Linked DNA regions of Sus scrofa. The protein of the gene in region 1 interacts with the protein of each later gene in a pairwise test. Links are inferred from orthologs where the notes say so. Each region holds a gene or a part of one and is shown in the gene's direction. Other genes may lie near its edges.

Region 1 (4,182 bases):
GGTGCAGGCTTCAACTGCAGGCGTGGGTTTGATCCTTGACCCAGAAACTTCCATATGCTGTGGGTGCAAAAAAAAAAAAAATTCTTTATTACTTTCTAAAGTACTCTACACACTTATCTTTACTTTGCCTATTTTCTTGGGCAGGGATTTTATTTGATTTGTTCTCTGCCGTACCCTATTGCCTAGAACAGTGCCTGGAACATTGTAGGTGTGCAATAAGATAAGTGCTGGATAAACGAAATAAAACGTGCAGTCAAAACTGTGGGTTGTGTGAGCTACATGGAATGTCAAAAAGGGAAGCACATGAGCAAGAATTAGTCAGATTGACCTCAGCGTGTATATTCTAGGCGGGCAGAAAAGAGTTGGTTAACCCCTACACACAACCCAGTGTTGAGCAGCCATTGGCTAACTGAATTGAATCTTTAATGCTCCACCCTGGAGAGGAAGGAAGGGGCTCACCAGGGGTAGACCCGCAAACTACTGCTGTATCCTTTCTACAAATTGACCAGGACGCCCTCCTGGTATTTGTCTTTCCAGATTTCCACCTGTCAGGTCCAAGAATCTCAAGGTGGGGATGCGGAGGGAGCTGGAACCTTGTGGGGGAGGGTGACAGTCCCCCAAGGTTTGGCTCCTTAATTCAACCATCCCTCAGGCGGTCACCACCCTCACAGTTTTAATCAATAGTGTACGGACCCCACCTCTCCAGACCCCCACCCCCCTCCATGTCCTGCTATTTTATCTCAGAAACATGGTCCAGGGCTGAGGCCCTGGCCCCCTCCTCCAGTAATTTCCCCAAGCATGTGGGGCGGGGCCGTGAATCAGCACTCACTGGGACTGATGCATCCTCCGTCCCCGCCAGGGGTCCCCAGCGGCCGCAGAATTAGGAACCCCCCCCTCCCCGTCCCATCCTCCTCTGTCTGAGCGCTACGACAACAGGGAGATGTAGTCTTGGCTGCCCCTTTGTCCCTGATCTCCCCAACGTATCGCCGCACCCGAGGATGAACTACAACTCCCAGGGGCCCAGGCGCCGGAGGCCTGAGAGGGCCGCGGTCTGCAGGACGAAGGGTGGGGGCCGTCTGGAGAAGATAGGGCACAGCAGCCGGGGTGAAGGGAAGCACCCGGCTCGTTGGGGGGCAGCGGGGAAGGAGGGGACGCCCAGAGAGCGGCGCCGAGCTGAGTTGGGGAGGGGAAACCCAAGGAACGGAAGGGCCGGGGCGGGGGTGCGCGGGCGGGTGGGCGGGGCCGTTGCGTCACGCGGCGTGGGCGGGGCCGCAGGGGGTTGTCCGCCCGCGGCACGCACAGCAGTCGCAGCCGCCTCGCGCCCGGTCCCGCGGTCGCAGCTCGAGCCGCAGCCTCTGCGCCGCCACCGTCGCCGCCTCAGCCGCTCGCTTCGTGGGTCGGTCCCTCCGGCACACGGGCTCCAGCCGCGTCGCAGCCGTCCCCTGAGCCCCTCAGGCCGCCCCGGTCTCCTTGCCCGGCCCGACCCAGCCCGTGAAGATGGTGGACCGCGAGCAACTGGTGCAGAAAGCCCGGCTGGCGGAGCAGGCGGAGCGCTACGACGACATGGCCGCGGCCATGAAGAACGTGAGTTTCTCCTCCCCTCCCCCCGCCTCGCCCCAGCCCCTTTGCAGACGCGGGCCTTCGTCGGCTCTTCCGGGGGACTGGTTGCCTGTTGCAGCTGCAGGTCTCTCGCCCCTGAGGGAGCTGGGGAGGGTCCCGAGAGCGCTGAGGACCGGGTGTGACGCGGCCTCGCTCCGAGCGTCCCCCGGGGCCGGCGGCGCTGTCTCCTCAGCCCTCCTCGCGCTCGGGCTGGGGCGGGGTCTTGCAGGGCTGGTCTGGGCAGCCGGCTCTCCGGCCGCCGCGCCTTTGGCTTTGCCGGGGACCTGAGCCGGGGCCACGCGCATCCTTTGTGCCCCACTTCCCCTCCTCCCAGCCTGGGCGTGTGGGGGCGGGGGACCGCATGGATGCGGTTCCTCTTTTCTCCCTGGTGTCTGGGCGGCGCCTTTTCCATTCACTCAGCAGGTCTCCCGGTTTTCTGATGCTCCCCCTCTCCCCAAATCTTCCCACTGTCTCTCGAGACAGGTCCTTTAGAGTCTCCCCGGTAAAAACGTAGGCTGTCCTGAAAACCTGGGCGCAGTAGTACAAAATCGAAACCTCCTTGCTCACGTTTTTCTTAACAAAAGGCTCCTCTTTCTTTACCTCAAAGCAAGCCCTCTTGATTTTAGGAAGAGGGGAACGTTTGTTTGGCTAGCTTTTTCATTGATTGTTCTTAATATGTTATCTCTAATTTTTCCTAGTGTTTTTTGTATTGAAAAGGGTAGGTATTGTCTTAAAAATAAAGGTTGTGAATTTAGCTGACTGGTTCAATTTGTGATAATATGCCGTTTCTCTTTTAAACACAGGCACACATCTGTTGAAATTCCTATAAGTTGAAAAAATATTCTCTCTGATCTGATACTGCAAACAAAGCGGTGGTGGGAGGCAGTATCAAGTCATTCCAGAAGATTCTGCATTTGTCATATTGCAGAGAGCCTAGACTGGGTGGAGGCTGGGAGGAGTTATTTTAAAGGGGAAAAAATATCTTTTTTTTTTTTTTTAATTTGTTTTGTTAGATATATCTGAGGCTTAAAAAAAGCTATCACATCCTTATTGGTGATGAAAAGAGAATACTGATCTCCAGTTGTCGCATTTTGTCTGGGATGCAGATTCCTGCCTGTATTGCACCATTTTGTAACACTACATTTGTCTAATGGGCAGACAACCAGTTTGATGGTGGGGGGGAGTATTGACCATTATTAAATGAAACCTAGAAAATTATCTAGTGATTTAGGTCTCCCACTATTTTAATAAATAAGTTAAATACTTCTTGCCTTATGTAACAAAGGTTTTAAAGTGCATCTCCTGTGTGTAGCAGATGCAGGAGTGTACCTTGCGTGTTAAATCTTTTTAATGAAGCAGTGTAGGTATTACAGATTCATTAATTCTTGAATAATTTTACTGGTTCACAAAAGATGACAATACTGATGCCTTTATATTTAAGTCATCTACATTAATAAGGGGTTTTTATTCCCTTAAGGAAGAGAATTGACTCTGAAATTGGGAGCACTGCTTTATTAAGAGACTGCTACAGTTGCTGTCTTTAAAGTGCAAATGATAGAAGTTATACTTTAATAGATATCAGTATCTTCAGTTCAATTATTTAGACTCTTCTAATTTTTCCATATTTCTAGTTTCACAGGAAAGCGAGTGACCTCGCACCTATATCCATAGCAACCCAGTGATGTCACACAATGACACAGAGGCTGCAATGCACCTAAGGGCTGGTAGGGAGTATTCAGATGGCATTTGTCCAAGGTAATGCAGAAATTATCAGATGAGCCAGGTGGAATTGAGTACTTTATGTTCTATCAGATGAGAATTGGTCCCCAAAATAAAGTATTTCATTTATCCTTAGACTTGCAAATCAGGGACCTCTAGATATGCCTGTTCTCCTTCCTATTTCTAGTTTTCTCAAAAGTTTAAGGATACAGTAGTGTTTTTAAACATTCATCTCACTATTAAAATTGGGCAATGAAGGAATAAAGTTAAAAATTTTAAGCAATTTTTTTGTGATCATAGTGCAGGGGTGGGTTGTATACATGGCTTTATTGCAAATTATTAATGTGGCAGGTTTTAAAAAAACCTTTAAAAAATTACAACTTCCTACTCGGTCATTTTCAGTAAATGTCAGGGAATGAGAATCCGTTTCAGAACACTTGAGCTTGGGATTGGGAAAAGTTTTCTTTTGCTGTGTTGATGCTTCTGCTCTTTGACGACAGAGCATGGAGGAAAGAACAGTTCATAAAATAAAGCAGACATTTTTCGAACCTGTTTACTGTGATTCTGAGGGTTAGGCTTACCTTTGACCTTCACTTTCTTCCTCTGTAAAATGGGTCAATACCTACTTGAAAAAGTTGCAAGGATTAAATAAAAACTGTAGATGCTTTAAAAAAGTAACTGTTTCTTCCTCTCTTTGTAAAGGTTATCACTGAATTTGGAAAATAGAGGAAGATACAAAAAAAAAGTCCTTCCCTTAAGGTTGGAGTAATCCAGGTGCTAGAGTGATGAAATTTATTTGAATTTAATGAAATTACCCTAGTAATAGTTAGGACCTGTGACATGTGGGTGACCAGGGTAGAAATA
Region 2 (3,645 bases), on another chromosome or scaffold:
CACGTTTGCTTCTTCTGACTCATTGCACCTTTGAGAGGGAGTAGCAGACGATATATGAGACTATGTTTTCAGTTTCAGATGGTTTCTCATAAAGGAGGCAGTAGAGTACAGTGGTTAAAAGCCCTAGCTTGAGCGAGTTTCCCTGGTGGCTCAGTGGTAACAAACCCGACTAGTATCCATGAGGACACAGGTTTGATCCTTGGCCCCTCTCAGTGGGTTGAAGATCTGGTATTGCTGTGACCTGTGGTGTGGGTCCCAGATTCGGCTCGGATCTGGCATTGCTGTGGCTGTGGTGTAGGCTCACAGCTGTAACTCTGATTCAACCCATGGCCTGGGAACTTCTGTATGCCGCGGGTACAGCCCTAAAAAACAAAAAATAAAAAAAATTTTTAAAAGACTTAGGTTTAGGAGTTCCCGTCGTGGCACAGTGGTTAATGAACCCGACTAGGAACCATGACGTTCCAGGTGTTCTATCCCTGGCCTCGCTCAGTGGGTTAAGGATCCGGTGTTGCCGTGAACTGCGGTGTAGGTCACAGATGTGGCTCAAATCTGACGTTGCTGTGGCTGTGGTGTAGGCCTGCAGCTATAGCTCCAATTAGACCCCTAGCCTGGGAACCTCCATATGCTGCAGGTGCAGCCCTAGAAAAGACAAAAAAAAAAAAAAAAAAAAAAGACTTAGCTTTGGCATCAGACAAATCTAGGTGTGAATACTGCTTTGGTCATTTGATTCCTACATGACTTTTGGCAAGTTATAGAACTTCTCTTATCTGTGAAATGGGGGTAGTTATAGAACCTAACTCATGAGATTTTTGAGACATGTCACATAGAGTACTCATTACATTGTGTGGCACGTAGTAAGCTTTTAAAAATATATTAGCTATCACAGGAGTTCCCAACCTGGCTTAGTGGTTAACGAACTTGGCTAGTATCCATGAGGATGTGGGTTCCATCCCTGGCCTCTCTCAGTGGGTTAAGGATCTGGCGTTGCCGTGAACTGTGGGGTAGGTCGCAGACCCGACTCGGATTCTGAGTTGCTATGGCTGTGGTGTAGGCTGGCAGCTGTAGCTCCAATTCAACCCATAGCTTGGGAACTTCCACATGCCATGGGAGACAAAAAGACAAAAGACAAAAATAAAAATGTTAGTTATCATTAATATTAATTTTTATTCTGAATGCCTTCCAGAAGGTGCTTCCTGGAGGGGTCTGCCCCCATGTTCCTGTGCCGAGTTCCAGGACAGCCTCAACCTCAGTTACCATCCCTCAGGCTTGAGCCTGCACCTCAGACCACCCAGCCCGGGAAGTTCCCTACAGGAGCAGCCCCTCTCCCAAGTCCTAAGCCCTGAGCCCCCAGACCCAGAAAAGCTTCCTGTGCCCCCTGCCCCTCCGTCCAAGAGGCACTGCCGCTCACTCTCAGTGCCCGTGGACCTGTCTCGCTGGCAGCCGGTGTGGCGGCCCGCCCCCTCCAAGCTGTGGACTCCCATCAAGCACCGGGGCAGTGGTGGAGGGGGTGGGCCGCAGGTGCCTCACCAGAGCCCCCCGAAGCGGGTCTCCAGCCTCAGGTTCCTCCAAGCTCCCAGTGCCTCTTCTCAATGTGCCCCAGCCCACAGACCCTACAGTCCCCCTTTCTTCAGCCTGGCCCTGGCCCAAGAGTCCTCTCGTCCCTCTGCTGCCTCCCCGCAGAGTGGCTCCTGGGAGAGTGATGCTGAGTCCTTGTCACCTTGCCCACCCCAGCGCCGCTTCTCCCTGTCGCCCAGCCTGGGCCCACAGGCAAGCCGCTTCTTGCCCTCTGCCCGGAGCTCCCCCGCATCCTCCCCGGAGCTGCCCTGGCGACCTCGAGGCCTGCGCAATCTTCCCCGAAGCCGCTCACAGCCTTGCGATCTTGATGCCCGAAAAGCTGGGGTCAAGCGGCGCCATGAGGAGGACCCGCGGCGGCTGCGGCCTTCCTTGGACTTTGACAAGATGAATCAGGTGGGACCTGCAGGACCAGGGAGGCTTGGATGGGAGTAGGGGCACTGTTCCGTTTTCACTTTTGTGCTGTCCTCTAGCTCTGGGCCCTTCCTGGGTCTCCCCAGGAGCTCCTTTCTCTCTGAGCTTTTTGCTAGGGTGTTCTGTCTCCATTTACCCAGGACTATCCCGGTTTTAGCCCTGAAGGTCCCAGGTCTTGTGAAAAGCCTCAGTCCTGGGGGGTTCCAGAGAAACTTGGGATGAGACCTCTGTTAAACCTTCCAACAGAGATCCCACATTGTCATGCTAGAGGCACTTTGGCTCCTCTCTGAGAAGGCAAGAGCTACCAAAGCTCCATCATCAGTGCCCCACCCTCCTCACACATGGCTGGCTTTACCCCTTGCCCTTCGCTGCTTGCTGTGGGTCTGTGACGGCTTAAGCATGGCAGTCTGCTACATCATTCATCTGCCCAACAAATGTTTTTGACTTCCCAGTGTGCGTGCAGTTGTTGTATGCACTTGCCCACTTTTTCCATGTTCTTCCTTCTAAATTACTGGGTTGCAAACCTTTTCGAATAAGTGAGAACCTATTCACTCATTCATAGAATCATTCATTCAACTAGTCAGCAAACAATATTGAATACCTGCTATGTAGCAGGCTCTGAGGAGGCACTAGCAATCCAGTAGTGGAATAAGCAGACAGCATTCCTGCCCACGTGAAGATTTTATTGATTAATTGATTTTTGCTTTTTAGGGCCGCACCTGCGGTATGTGGAGGTTCCCAGGCTAGGGGTCTGATAGGAGCTACAGCTGCTGAAGCCTCAGATCTGCGTCTGCGACGTACACCATAGCTCACAGCAACACCAGCTCCTTAACCCACTGAGCAAGGCCAGAGATCGAACCTGCAACCTCATGGTTCCTAGTCGGATTTGTTTCCGCCCCACCACGACGGGAACTCCCATGTGAAGATTTTAAACCTGCTTCTAATCTTGAATCTCATAGAAACTGTGGGCTCTTTCTTCAAAGAAATGTGCATGTATACCAAATATCCCAAATTTTATCAGGGAGGTCATGACCTCACCCTAATGCTTAGGACTCCTGCCTTCAAGGCACTCTGGGCCAGGGTTCTCTGGGAAGTGAGTGTCTTTCTTTGCTTTAATTTTGTTTGTTTGTTTGACAGAAACCATACTCAGGAGGTCTCTGTCTCCAAGAAACAGCCCCGGAAGGCAGCAGTAACTCTCCACCGTGGTTCATGGCCTGTAGCCCCCCGCCTCTCTCTGCTTCCTGCAGCCCCATTGGGGGTTCCTCCCAGGTGCTGAGTGAAAGCGAAGAGGAGGAAGAGGGGGCCGTGCGGTGGGGGCGGCAGGCGCTGAGCAAGCGGACACTGTGCCAGCAGGACTTTGGGGACCTGGACTTGAATCTGATTGAGGAGAACTAAAACTGAGAGGCTGCTTCCTGGGGCCACACAGACTGACTCTCTTATGGCTACTAACAAGTGTCGAGGTCCCAAGGCCCGGGGCCCAGCCTGGGAATGGGGGTGAGTGGAGGGCTCCGACTCAGGGCAGCCGGAAATCTTCTCGCTCCAGGAAGCTCGACCATGCCGAGAGACTGGCCGGGACAAGATAAACGGAGCTGGTGGCGGGAGGGACAGCCCCAGAGCAGACCCTCCCCGTGGCGGCCCTGAGTGTGAGTATCCCTGCCG

Evidence for each region. The genes of interacting proteins can lie anywhere in the genome.
Region 2: the proteins of YWHAG (region 1) and FAM53C interact in binary tests that used the Homo sapiens proteins (3 or more experiments, as listed by UniProt). The link is inferred for Sus scrofa from reciprocal best matches to the Homo sapiens genes YWHAG and FAM53C.

What each region holds. Positions count from the first base shown.
Region 1 is NC_010445.4:9,993,537-9,997,718, forward strand, and holds the start of YWHAG (14-3-3 protein gamma), read left to right. Parts: upstream 1-1,265; 5' UTR 1,266-1,497; coding exon 1,498-1,584; intron 1,585-4,182. UniProt on the Homo sapiens protein: Adapter protein implicated in the regulation of a large spectrum of both general and specialized signaling pathways. Binds to a large number of partners, usually by recognition of a phosphoserine or phosphothreonine motif.
Region 2 is NC_010444.4:140,337,058-140,340,702, forward strand, and holds part of FAM53C (protein FAM53C), read left to right. Parts: intron 1-1,183; coding exon 1,184-1,968; intron 1,969-3,123; coding exon 3,124-3,381; 3' UTR 3,382-3,645.